Linked DNA regions of Astyanax mexicanus. The protein of the gene in region 2 interacts with the protein of the main gene of each other region in a biochemical or structural test. Links are inferred from orthologs where the notes say so. Each region holds a gene or a part of one and is shown on either strand. Other genes may lie near its edges.

Evidence for each region. The genes of interacting proteins can lie anywhere in the genome.
Region 1: the proteins of col1a1a (region 2) and sparc form a complex in vitro, tested with the Homo sapiens proteins (2 studies listed by BioGRID). The link is inferred for Astyanax mexicanus from reciprocal best matches to the Homo sapiens genes COL1A1 and SPARC.

What each region holds. Positions count from the first base shown.
Region 1 is NC_064417.1:39,221,948-39,228,851, forward strand, and holds the start of sparc (SPARC), read right to left. Parts: upstream 3,013-6,904; 5' UTR 2,873-3,012; intron 1-2,872.
Region 2 is NC_064426.1:32,891,717-32,899,735, reverse strand, and holds the start of col1a1a (collagen, type I, alpha 1a), read right to left. Parts: upstream 3,024-8,019; 5' UTR 2,892-3,023; coding exon 2,810-2,891; intron 854-2,809; coding exon 662-853; intron 1-661. UniProt on the Homo sapiens protein: Type I collagen is a member of group I collagen (fibrillar forming collagen).

The DNA.
Region 1 (6,904 bases), on a different chromosome or scaffold from region 2:
TGTAGAGCTTAGCCAAAAGAACAACAACTGTCTGTGGAAATGAAAATTCTCAATCTACCCAAAGTATCATATTACAGTGTTTAGCTCCTAAACTATAGAAAAGCATGCCGGATTTGATCAAGCACACATTCTTACATTTTAATTAAGAAACATATATTTTTAAGCTTAAAATCTTACTTTAAATCTTACATTTTCAAATCTTAACTAAAGATAGTTTTCATGTTTTCTTATTACAGAGTATATTGTCAGAAAATAATAATTGTTTTGTTATAACTTAACCCTTAACTTAAACCCTGTATATAAGCCAATTCTACATTTCTTTAATCCCAATTTAATAACAGTTTTATATACCTTAAACTAGAACCTTGTGTTCTAGTGTTAAGCATTTTAAAGCTGTAATGACTCCAAAATTTGGTGGAAAATTCTCAGATGTGTAGCTGAGACCACTGATAAGAAGCTTCAGATCAAGAGATGCATCTTAGATTTGCCTTAATTGTTTTTGTTACCATGATTAAATGCTTTAAATTATCCTCAGCTAACCTTTCTAGCTTTTTAAACGGTAGCTTGATTGTCGGTTGGTGCTCTTTATACTGTTTATAAATCATGGGTTCACTCTGGTTTCATGCCAAGTGTCTGGCTTTATCTACTGGTCAGACTCCCATTGGATCTCCTTTCTGTGAACCACAACTCTTCTTCTCTTTCTCACCCGGCCTTCCACTGCAACCCTGAGAGTCTATTTCTGTTTTGTTTTTTTGTTTTTTTTTTCTGGCTGATGCTGCTTACTTCTGTTTGCTGTTTTTTTACTCACTGCTGCTCTAAAGCTGCTCAAACTTTGGTTAAATGTTTCCATTCACATGTTTGCGTCACTCGAATTGACATCTGGTGGAATATGGGCAACAGCCCTGTGCTGACTGTCCAAAGGGTTTTTTTCCTCAAGTGTTTTAGGGATGCCACACTTTTCTGTGGGCTTGTTGTGTCCTGGGCTTGTTTTGAACTTTTTGCAGCTTCTGAAACATGTGGGAACTCTTAGCGAACATCTTTATTCTATTATCAAAGCAGTATGTAGAGAAATTGATTAAGCTGTTTAACTTTCAATAAAATTTTACAGTATTCCTGCCGGATTTTCAAGGCACTTTTAGCCTATTTTTGCACTTTTTTACAGTTGTATTTATTTTCTATTTTAAAATAAATTAGTAGGAGAAATTAAACATCTGTCATAAAACAGTTCCAATAAGTACATAATAATTGATTTACGGTTACATAATGATAACATGACCTTAATACAATTTTCGCTGACCTCAATAATTCCCATTGTGTTTATTTAGGGTTAGGATATATTGACATTTTTTAAGTAGTTTTAAAAAATGTATTTATTAAGATATATTTTTATGTATATATAAGGTTCATATTCCAGTTCCAATGTCTGAATATTATTTGAACAAAATTATAATTTAAAAGTTGTATGCCCTTTAAACTTAATATGTAAATGTACTACTATGCTATTATATTATAATTATATCAGTGGCATAAAATAGTCATAAAACAAAATTAGGAATTGTTTACCTTTAATGGTTAATCAATTATTTTTGTGTTTATCTATTATTCTAACTATATACTGTCTAAAAATATTTGCTAAAATATATGCAGTATCTGTTTTTTTTTTTCTTTCTTTTTTTATGCCACCAGCCAACTTTTTTTCTGTCTTTAACGACAGCAGCCCTTCCGGCAGCTGTGGATGCTCAGTGTGTTCTCACGAAGTTCTTGTTTGTCAAGAGAATAGACATCTGTACAATTTAAGCAGGCCTCAACAGCTGGTGAGAACTTCCATGGCAACTCACATTCCTTTTGATGGGAGTAAGTGAAGGGGAGGGGAGGGAACTTGGGGAGGCGAAAACAGACCCCCCCCCTTCTCTCTTTCTCTCTCTCTCTCTCTCTCTCTCTCTCTCTCTCTCTCTCTCACAGGCTTTGTAGCTTGATCTCCCCTCCCCCCTTCTCCCCACACCTCTGTGTTCTCCTCTTCTGTTGCCTATGTGGCACAATACGTTGCTACAGTGTGCTCCTCACCCTTAAAGTAAGTGGGTGTCATCATTAAATTGAGATGAGCTCTGCAGGGGAAAAGCTTTACCAACTTTATTACAGCGCTTGTGAATTGAATGCTGGGATCTGGGTTCCCAAGAAAGGGATTAAGGCTTGTCCCATACTGCATGGTCCAGTCTGAACCGTGACTGAAAATACACTATTAAAAATAAAGTCACTACCAAGGGTTCTTTGAGTTAGAATCAGTTTTGTTACATTAATAATCATGTTTGTAATAGAGATGTCTACAAGAAGTGTATACAGAATCATTATTAATGTAAAAATAAAGGTTCTTTACCTATTTAAAAGGTTTTCCACACTTTTACATTAATCCCTTATATAAACACGGTTATTTTTGGATCCAAAAGTGGTTCTGTTGTGGCATCATTCATAGAACTATTTGTAGCATCCTTATTTTTAACAGTGTAGTCCAGAACTAGATTTAGATAAATATGAATCAGATCTGAATCTGTAACACTAGAATAAACAAATAAACCCACATGACCCAAAAACGCATTCACCTTTAGCCTTTTAAAATCTACTACATATAATAAATATACATATATACATATAATAAAGCAATAATGATGCAAAAAAAAGCAAGAACAAAAAATAATTTCTAAAAAAAAAAACTTTAGTATAAGAATGTGTGACTGTCTTTTAGGACCTATCACTGATTTCTACACAAAGCATTAAATGATGATCAGTGATGTAAAATAAATTACATTTGTCTTCTTTTAGCAGTTTTAACAAAGACTGAGGTAAAGGTAGGGATGATGGGGTGCAGAGTTCTTACCTTCTGTTCGGCGAACCGAGAAGCCAAAAGGAGAAGTCAGCTGGTGCAGGGGTCTGGAACTATCTAACAGCAACACAAGTTCTCTAAGACATTTGCAGTGGGCTGGCCCTGCTAACCCCCCTCCTGGAGCTCCGCTGGAGTGGGACGTCCCACAGTTAACTCTATGTATCCAGCTACAGGGTCTTAATCCCATGCAAATCAGGTCTGCTATGCATGTTTGCCTGCTGTCCACACAGAAAAACAGAATAAATTTCACATTTATTTGTAAATGCCTGGAAACACTATTATTTAAAGAAAGTAAATTTAGTTGTAGATTTAATATGCTGTTTTAACTGTGGGGTTGTGGACTTGCTAAAGGATTTAGGATTAGTCAGGTTTGTATACATATACGAGCGCTAACAGGGTACCTATTAACACTGATGATATATTTAACATTGTAATTCTCTTGGGCAGGTATAACTAATACTATTCATATGTACAGTAAATAGTGTGTGCAATACACAATTACAATGTTGTATGTTTGGGAGATTGCTAAAATAGCAGTTTGGGCATTCAGGGTATTGGGTATTCAGGTTTGATTTGAGTAAAGAATCATAAAGAGTGATGGAGTATCTCACAATACCAGTGCTGTTGGAACAACCTAAATTTACCATATTATAACTTTACAGAATAAACAAAGAACATACACAATGTAGTAAATAGGGAATTTTATAACATCATAATATAAAATATATATTTTAAAAATATATAATAAAATATTACTAACACTAAAATAAAGCCATATATTTCCAAAATATTAATTTGACAGTTAAAAGAAACATACTAAATGGAGCAAATGCTGTATTTCATAATATAAAGAGAGTATTACAATACTTTGCTATACACTGATATTAAAACACACCCACTTTCACAAAATAATCCAATTCAAGCAAAAATATACTAATCTGACTATAATAAGTATTTTATATATCATAGTTTTTTTTTTAAATAATATTTCACAATATTGAACAAAAATGTTCAAATAATAGATGTTCATAAGAAACAAAACACATTCCTAACGAACTAAAGTTAATGTAAAATATATATATATATATATATATATAATATATTTTAGCTGTTCATTTTGGTACCATTTTTGTTGGATAGTTTGTTGTGAAATTGTAACAAAATGCAAAAAAATATTTAATTTTAAAAAAGGAAAACTAGATAGATATAGAGATATAGAGATATAAAGTTTTTGGTGAGAATTGTAACATATCTTCCATTTCAATGCTGGGCTTCTAATGCCAAACCTACACTGGAAAAGTACAAGACTAAAGACTGACAATCTGTCACTGCTCTGCAAATTAAAATTAAAAATTGCTCTGCCAACTTAAAATCCTGCAGAGTCAATAATTACAAGTCTGCAACTAGATGCTTTTGAGATCATTCCCCATCATTCTCCTGCTTGACATTTACGAGAATCTGTTAAACAATGGAGCACAAACAGAAGCAGCTTTTAGCCACAGCTGTCTTTGTGTGTGCAGAAGTTTGTTAGCAAAAAAAGAGCAAGAAAGACACCACAGAATGAGTTTAAATGAACAGGGACAGCTGCTTTTGTTTGTTGGTGGAGAAAGCTCTCCTATTGGTTATTCTAATGTATGTTGGAATTAGTGGTGGGAATCACAGAGCATCTTATGGTACAACATGATCATGATATGTTGTCCATTATCATGATGATATCACAATCCTGAGATTCTACAATACTCAATATATCACAAGACAATTCTCTAAAATACTTCAGGGAATCTGTGTTACCAAAGAGAATAAAATACTGGTGTAATTTAAACAGTTAAAAGCAGGATAGCTACTTAAAACCCAGTATGGAATTTCAGGGTATCTGCTCATGCTGGCCAATGAAATCCCATCATTTATTTTCACCTTATTCTCTCAGCTAGCTTCTTTTACTACAGTTTAAACACTGGAGAGTTTTGGTGATTGTCAGGTTTAAGCAATAGCTTACTAAATAAAATAAAAAAATAAATACAGTATAACAGTACAGTGTGTGCGTGCATGCTCGGCAAAGTAGAATTAAAGTGGATCATACCATTTTTATGGTAGGCATATTGCACTGTTATATTTTCATTATTAAAATTATTTTTAATGATAGACTTTCTAAGATTTTAAATGTTTTAGCTTATCAGAGACACACTTCTTTAAAAAAAAAGAAAAAAATAACTTTTGCTTTCACTTCTAGGGGTGGTGGAACAGGTTTTTTATGAGTACTTAAGCACCCCTAAAAATGGACTAGATACGCTCATGATAAGAATACAGAATCTAGTAGCACTTTATGTTAAAGGCACACAATGCTTTATTACCCCACAGCAATTCTGGCATTGTCCATAGTCAGGGAAGCTGTGTGTACACAAGCACAACAACACAACACAATGCTTCAGTAAGGTAAATGAATGTCTTATGACTCCCATCAAAAGGAAAATAAAGCAAATAGAAATAATAAAAAGACTGGAAAACTCTATTACGGCTTGTCCAATCAGAGTCAAATACATGTATTAACTGACAGCACTGCCTGTAAGCAGTGTCCCTGTGGATGAAAGAGTAAACGCATGACCTCATGTGACTCTTTCTAAAATAATCGTAACTTATTTTGCTTCAGAAAACACACTCGCAATCGTTTTACTTCATATAAAAGTGTGTGTAATATTGTCAGGCATACAGTAGATGATATAGATACATGTCATTTGGGTTGAACTGTTAAAAAATGAATGCTACGTGGTTCAATTCTTTAAAATCCCAGTCACAGAATCAAATTCCTCAGTCCATTCTTACTGTTCTGTCTATCTGTCTGTGTGTGTGTGTGTGTGTGTGTGTGTGTGTGTGTGTGTACTGTGGGTTGCTGAAAGTACATCAGGCTAAAGTAATCACAGCAGCTGTTCAATGTACTGTAGCTTCAGCTTCTCTGCCTTACACACACTGGTTCAGTACCGATTGCCGCTCTGCTATGGATTGCTAATGTCTGTCCTCTCCCAGCCCTGTGGACGAGTAAGGAGAGAAACATCTGGATGAGAAAATGCTGGAAAAAACAGCAGCTATGCAACGTGGCATTTTCCATCCTGGCTGCGGCAGACAGAGTGAGCTGGAGTGGGAGCAGGCCGTGGTGGAGGAGGTGTAATTACTCAGGCTCTCTGGAGCTGCAGACGTGGCGCTGTCTATGAAGCCTAACAAGTCTTCACATGGCTATCTGCTTTCTGGAACCCCCACCATTATATCCCCTCATTCTAATTACAATTAGGTGTAATTATACCAGCTAGCATCTGCAGATCAAGGGCAGCAGCACCTGAACTGTGTCAGGTGATAATTTATGGGACTCCCTGGAAAAGATTAGCTGTGCTGGTACATACTGTAGGTGGTAAAAGGCATGGTATAATACAGTTTTGCCCTTAGTTTGCCCTTTATGAAATGTATGTAGTTTGCTTTCAGTGTAAATATCAGATTATAACTATTTCATTTTCATTCATTACAAGCTATTCATTTTTCAAGGTAAGTGGTTTCCTGGATAGTGGATAGGGGTCTTATGATCATTTTCTTTTCATCGTCTGACTATGTATGCATTTTTCTCAGACGTCCTCTGTGAAAATTACAGGCTAAATTACCTACTATTTTTCTCTGAATTTAAGTCCCGTCCAGTTTCGTCATGTTGTGTTTAATAAAATAGCTATTTGTCCACTGCCACGCACCGTTATTACACTTTGGGTGCACGTTTCCACATAGATTACATTACATTACATTTGGCAGACGCTTTTGTCCAAAGCAACTTACAATAGTCAAGTACAATGTAAAATAAGTTTAAAGGTAAAACATCTTTGGATAGGGATAAAAGGAGGTCAAAGGGGAATAATAGGATAGAGGAGTGAAGGAGGGGAAGAAGGAAATGAGGTTAGAAGTAGTTAGTGTGTTAGAGGTGTTAAGAGAGTAAGTGCTCTTTGAAGAGCTCTGTCTTCATGAGTTTCTTAAAGATAGCGAGAGATTCTCCTG
Region 2 (8,019 bases):
TGCTAAGCCTCATAAATAACAGCATGCTGCATGTCACATGACCTTTTGACCTGTATCTGTCCCCTGGATCACTAAGTGTGGTAAAAAGCCAAGGGGTCGAGGCTAGGGGGTGTCAGGTCTCATCCACGAGGCAGGATGGAGGGAGGGTTTCATTCATTCATTCTAGCAGAGCCAGGGGCAGGCACACCACACCTGATCAGAAGTTCAGTAGTTTGACTGAAAGCAACTGATTCAACCAGTGCAAACAAGTGAGTGCTCAGGCGTGCTGCAGCTTGATCTGAATGAAAGGCCTGCAGCCAGCCATTCCAGCTGTTCCTTGTGGATAAGACTGGACACCCAAAGTGTACTTTTCAGTGGGGGACTTTTTAGGGGTTCTTCAATTAGAATCTCTGGAGGAACCCCTTATATTAAGGTGCTTTGAGGATAAATGTTTCCTGAAGGTTCCTTGAAGCACTGTTTCAAACTGAAGAACCCCTAAAAGCTCTACAAAGAACCTGAGGCAGCATTTAATTAATCCAGAGAGGGGAAAAAGGAAGGGATCTCCACAAAACGAAGGCCAGACAAATCTGAAATCCGCTTGGAAAAACCGCTGTTGTAATTTTCCCAATTAACTTCCCACGATACAGGCGGGTGGGCGGGGCTTTAGAGCGGGCTTCCGTACCGTCATCAGGGCAGACAGGGCAGCACTCATCTGGGGGGATGATCGGATTGGCGCAGTCGCTGGTGTCCTCGCAGATCACCTCGTCGCACATGACCGTGCCGCTGTCGCACACGCAGATCTGGCAGGGCTCCGGTTTCCACACGTCCCGGTCATTGTAGACCTGGCCGTCCAACGTACAGCTGCTGCCTGTGCCTAAGGACACAAATAAAATAAGAAAAACACGTTAAAGCGTGTTACTTAATTATTTTTTTTTGTAATAAGCGTTCGCAAACACATTTAAACAAATGATTTTGATCATTCTTTAATTTATTTTATTATTTCGTTTATTATTGTTTTGTAAGGCAGAAGAATATATACATAGCTGCCTTACATAAACAATCCCAAATGTACATTATAATCATTAAAATAATAATTAAATAAATTAATAATATATCAATACTATCTATAACATGGATATATTTTTTAATTGCACCAAATTCACAATCATTGCTATCACTGCTCATATTGTTTTTATTTTTAATGCAATTATTGGCGATGATAGGCCTGAAATCAAGAATATTATTCTAGCTATTTATAGCCTATATTATTTTTTCGCAAAACAAACAAACAAAAAATAATTTTCAAATAATTTTAATGTAAAAATGTGAAGACTAAATACGGATAGGAAAAAATGTTTCCGCAAAAAAGGTCTAAAAGTATATTTTCTAAAGCGCAGGGTCCACTTTAACTGCTGATTCTTCTGTTGTTTTTTATTTAATTTAATTTTTTTAAGGCACTAACTGTATATTTTATTTTCGTCCTACGCTTGCACACAAATCTCATCATCTGTTTTTTTTTTTATTATTATTGAGCTCAATGCTCCAATCCATTCAAATTCATTCATCAGCGACTTTTAGCCAGATCGGCTATATGTAATGTCATCATTGTGACTCTTGATGGCGCTCTATCTAACAATGCCTTTCCCTTTTGTAAAGCAAGGGGAAAAGGCTCAGGAGGGAAAAGGTCCACGTCTTTCGGGGTTCACTGTATGTCATAAAATAATCGAAACCCGTCGGCTTGGCAGCAACATGCGTTTTCCCTTAGTGGAAAGTCTGCAAAGCCCACATGTGTTTTACATTATCATAAAAACACCAGAGGCGGGGTGGGGGCTCTGCTGAGGCTGCTGCCAAAAAGCAGGCCAGTCCCAAACCTGATCGCTAGGAGGCGCTGCAGGACTGCAATTGCGCTTCTCAAAGCGTTAAGGACAATTGCAGATGTCTGGACGGGTAGCTCTTTTTGTGTGAAGGAATCTGAAGACAAGAAAAAGTTTCTACCATGTTAAACAACTAATGTTAAGTAGTTCCCCCCAAATTCTAAGATAAATAAATAGCTTTTTAACATCACTTTAGTTTTTTTAATGTTCTGATCTCCTTGTTTAGCATGACATAGTCATGGTCCAAAGATGAGCTCATCACTTTTTCCATGGGAGAAAAACCTAAACCTCAAAAGTTCCAACGAGTTACGTGGTGGATGTCGACTTTAGACTAGTAGAACTAAAGACTCCAAACGAGTCGGGTTTTTTTTTAGCTAAATCAGATTTTTTTTGGTAGTTTCTGGTTTAGATCAAACATGTAAACACTTTATTACAAACAATACACAGCTAAACAACACTGTATAAGCTATAAATCCATATGTGCTTTAGCACTTTTACTTTTTTACTGTTTTTTTACCCCTCTGTACATTATTTTGCAGCTGTTGAACTAAAGCATAGCTCCAGGGCATCACTAATGTTAAGCATGGAGAGTAGCTAAAGGAGGGGTGTTGGGAGGGTGGACGAGTCTCTAAGCCTGTGCCAACTTGCCTCCATGCATGCAAGCAAGCAAGCTCTTGAAGACAGACTCTCAACATAGTGATACTCCTAGTGAATCTCCTGCACCTTCAACTTTCAATCACTGAAGTTGCTGTTCTTCCTCCCCTCATGTTTAAAATAGCATAGCATAGAGATAGATACAAGCTTCCCCAGAGCTTGGCATCCCTGGCAACCCCTCACTGCCCTCACTCTGCCCTTTTTTTTTTTGCTTTTCCCCCCAAAGGCAGCCCATCCTACCCAGTCAAAGTCCTAATCAAGAAGAAAAAGAAGCTGGATGTGAAGATAGAGAAGATACTCACGGTCGTCCTCGCCTTGCCCCCTTGCCAAAAGCACTGTTGCACCGAGCAACAGCGCCAGCCGAATATCCACAAAGCTGAACATGTCTAAATATTAGACATGTAGACTCTTTGAGGCGAGGGAAGTTCTTTTTTAGACTCCAATCATACACAGTAGGGTCCGGTCTTCTCTGACTCCAGTCCAGACCCCAGCAGAAACTCCCTACTGCCTAAACGCACTTTTCCCCCACGCTTTTATACTCCAAACTTTTGGGGAGGTGCCGGGCGCTCCACAGAGCTCAGGCATGTTCCCGTTTAACAGGAGAGGAGGAAAAAAAACGGACCCTCCTTCACCAGACGGAGGGGCTGTCTCCAGAACTCGTCTTTTTCTTTTTCTTTTTTTGCTTGCTTCACCCTAGCATCTAAAGAAACTGGGAAACTTGATCTTTTAGAGAGAAAATCTAAGGGGTTAAGCAAACCAAAAAGCCAGCTTTGGTTCAGTTGGATAGAGGAGGCAGGCAGGCCTGAACCTTCTTACCTTCTTACTTTCTTCTCACCTTATTCAACAGAAGCCAAGATGGGATGGAGTGCATTGTTGTTGTTGAATTTCGACACGTTTATTCTTCTTCTGGGCTCTGCTTGCTTGGTATCAGAATATGCATGGTATGGTTTTGTCTATTAGCTGTGGATGTTTATTCATAAATGCATACATGTGATACATTTATGTCACCATATTGAAAGATTTTGAGATTTAATTTAATCAGTTCAATGACATCTCATATATTTGCAATTGTGGGGTTTCTCAGAGGTGACTTAAGTTTAACCCTGGAATACACAACATTAATAAGGAGCAGTTTCTCAAAGAGGGAAATGATTTATTTTGCCCTTATTTTTAATGCACTCTTTCTGCTATAAAGTAAAATGTATTGTTTATAGACTTTTGTTTATTTATTCATTTTTAGCCCAAATCAACTTGGTATAATTTGCTATGTTGGATTTTAACAGTGTGAAGACTTTTTCATAAAAGGTAAATAGAGTCTGTAAATTGACTTCATTTGGAAGTACACATTTATTCATGGGCTTAATTTCCAGGATCCAGCCTATTTATCAGACCAAGATAAATCCCAAATCTATAATAATAAATTGTATACATTTTTAATGTGGAAAAAACTCAGGCATCTAGATATTAGTCTAATATAGTGCATAATGGATTTGGCTTAATAAACATTTACTCTATAATATAAATATTTTGTCTTTACATTTAATGCAATCATTTTTTTTATTTTAATACCACCAAGAATGAAGCACTTTTTCACTCATACGCCCAGACCTTCTTTATTCCCAGTTCACTCCCAGTTTTCTGCACATAAACAGTCTTCATTTCATCAATTGCATGTCTGGGGGACTGACTGTGTGACTAGGCAGTCAGTCGGTCTACGTGGCTCCAAAGCAGAGCTGCTGCTCCCACATTGTAGACATGCATCATCACATGATACCAAAAATCACTAAAATCAGTTTTAAAGTTAGTTATAAACATATAATATATATATATAGTGAATATAGATGTATATAAATGAAGATGCTGCTGACCCATCACTACAGCCACGACGCAATAAACGCGCACGCGCAGTGCTATTATTAAAAAATAAAATAAAACGCGCGCGAGCTCCTTGGCTTCAGCAGCGCTCCATCTCTCTCTCTCTTCCGCAGACACGTCGCATCTGCGCGGCTGGCCAATCACAGCGCTCCTCTCTCCCCCTCATTCTTCACCCCATCCAAGAATCCAAGACGCTTTTTTTCGCTTAAAACAACGCAGATGAAAGCAGCGCGAGCTTCTCTGAGGGAAAACGCCACCTCATCGCCTTCAGGTGCTTCAGGGTCAGTGTGGAGAGGAGAGCTACTGTTCTGCTCACGTTTACTCTAGTCGTTCAGAGACGTTTAGAGAAGGTGTGAGATGTGTAAGAAATCTTTAGATATGGGAGAAAATAATAAGATAAGTTGTTTATCTGAGCAGAAATGTATTAATCTATGTTTAAGTGTTATCTTAACCATTTCCTATTAAAATTCACACGCCTACAGATACAACACAACACATGGTTCATCAAACCATTTAAATTAACTGGCTACTTCATTACTCAGTTCAGTTAATTTATTAAAGTAAATCAGGTTAGCGGCGGTTCACATGGTAATAAGCAACTAAACCCTATATTTGGCAACTGAAATTATTCGTCAGAAAATGACAAAAAAAAAGCATAAAGCAAAACCAGTGAAAAGTGAAAAGACTGAATAAGTCTGCAGAACACTATTGTGGTTTGTAGTTTTGTCTAACAGTGATTTTTTTTAGTGTTAGGTGTTTAATGTGTATTTTTAAAAATCAAGAAATATATACTTTAGTGCTCATTTATGCATTGGTAAAAAGTGTCAAAAATCTAAAAAACTTTTTAAATCTTTCAGTTTTTTTAACATTGTGTCAAAGTGCCATGATGAGTAGACCAAAATAAATGTTCCAAAACAACTTGAAATAAAATCACATACAGCTCTAGAAAAAAACACTTAAAAACAATGAGTTTCTTTGATTTTACCAAACTGAAAACCTCTGAAAATATAATCAAGAGGAAGATGGATGATTACAAGCCATCAAATTATGCTGAACTGCTTGATTTTTTGTACTAGGAGTGGCATAAATTTATCAAAAAGCAGTGTGTAAGATTGGTGGAGGAGAACATGTCAATGTGCATGAAAACTGTGATTAAAAAACCAGGGTTATTCCACCATATTTCAGATTTCCAAACTTTTAAAACTTTATGAATATGAGCTTGTTTCCTTTGCACCTTTTTTATTATTTCAGGATTTTAAGACTTTACATTACTTATGTATTTCAAGTTCAAATTACATTAAAAGGAATAGTTCATTTTCCATTGACCCCAAATCACAAAAACAATCATGTCAAAACATTTTTCTTTTTTTTGTCTGAGACACTGAAACAAAAAGCTTTTACAGTATAAGTTAATGTATTTATCAATCAAAAGATTGCAGGTTGACTTTGATTTCTCTAATTTAATATTTTTTTCCTCTTTTTTTTCAGATGGTAAGTGGAATTGTTTTTAATTAAAAAAAATAAATAAACATATGCTTATCTGTGTGGTTATAGTTGCTTTGAAAATAAGTTAATAAGACCTTGAAGTTTAATATTTTATTATTCTGATTATTATTTATATAAATATTTGTATATTTTAAATGGAGGATGTGGAAGGTGATGAATTATGGCTGTAAGTTGCCTCTGCTACTCTGCTACATATAGACTGCCAGATTGGTTGGCGTGTCTAAAATATTTAATCTATCTTTGACTATCTGTGAATAAATATGTTTTTGGATATAATGGGAGTGCTGTCAGATTTCTTTTATTTTTGGTTCTTTAAGTTGTCATGGTTGTATAGTACCTTCATTGCCTTTAATAAATTAATAGCCCTTCAACCACCACCACCACCCTCTTTTAAAAAATAAAAATGACCTTGTATGGTAAACACTAGACTAATATTTTATACCATTCCGATTTTCTGGATTTTCTTTTGAACCATTGCTCTGAAAAGAGCTGTAATGAAATTGTTAGCAGCAGTACAAAATATGGGCTTACTTTTTTATAAGCATATATGACAAATTCCTTGTTTGCCACCATGTTTTTACTGTAATGCCAAGAACCATCTTTCTGAAAAATTCAGCTAACAACATATATGTGGTCACATTTAAATTAAGGCGGACATGTAATTTGTGGTTGTGTAGTGTAGGATCTGTACATTGGGTTGTAGATGATAAAAATATCTTTCTTTACAAGTTCTTAGGAACTAAATGGGGATTTTCAGAAAATGGTATAAAATTGCTTCAAGGATCAATGAGTTTGAAGGGTCTACACCTCTTTTTAAAGATCCTTTTTAAAGTCTCTTTTTTAGGTGGTTGTTGTTGGGATGTTGGGTAGGGCTTTCTGTAGTATATCTCTATTTACAGCATCAACCATGAAACCATATCGAAGTTTTGTGCAAGTTTTCTGAAGGTGGTTTAATGAGGTTGACTGATGAATGTGACTCATGATTGTGAGAGTGTTATTTTTTGGTGTTAAACAATTTTGAATATTTCAATCAGAGCTAAAGAAACAGAAGATTTGAAGTGGACAGTGGGGACTTGCAAATGAATGAAAATGGAAGCAGTGGAAGAAAGATTAGTGTGAGTGTTTGGGCAGGGAGAGCAAGGCCTTCTGGGAGCTCGCACATTGTCCAAGACCAGCATGGGCTGCAGGACAGAGAGGGGGCCAAGCAAAACACAGCACAGGGAACTTGGAAGGATTCAACCTGGAGAAGACACTGGGATGACTGGAGAGATAGAACTCCTGAGAGGACTTCGATTATTGGGCTCATAAGGCTTAATTTTAGCAGAGTGGGTTTATTACAGACATGGCACGGCATTAGACAAAAGATACATTGATTTTCTTATCTGTCCAATAAAAATATAAACTTAAAATATGTTTGGCATTAATGATACAGAACATTTCTTCATGCAAACACGCTTTAAGGTGTGCAACAGTTTCTAATAAAATAAATTCAATTCAATTCTCCACACATTCTGTATTGCGGACAGGTCAGGGCTGCAGACAGTTGAGTCTTTTACCCGTAACCCCTTTTTCTGCAGCTCTGCAGCCTTTAAAATGTGTGCAGTGTGGGGTTTTGCATTGTCTTGTTGAACAATGCATGGACGTCTCTGGAGAAGATGTCCCCTTTAAGGCAACATATGTTAACCTAGACTCTCAATATACTGTAGTGTACTGACACATCATACAAAACATACCATGATGACCATTTAAGTCATTGATCTGAAGCTCATGGCTTTAGTTTTTTTCCAAAAAAAAAGCAGCAAAAGGAGCAGAAAGGGTTACTGGCTTTGCTCAAGAGCACAAATAATAGCACAAAGATGAAAAGGTTAATATATTACTTCTGTATTGTGTTCTTTAAACCAAATTGTAACATTCAACAAATACATAGCAAAAACCTTTCAAATTACATTCATGCAAAAACCTTGTATTTCTACTGAATGTAAATATGGCAGTTGTTCTTTACATTTCATTGATTTTTTATGCTGAATATACCAATGGAAATGCTCCAAAAATGACATAAAACAAATTGTATGCAATGACGTCTATTAAAGGTCAAAAAGTTTCTCATTCTCTTGTAAAAAAGAAGGTTTTT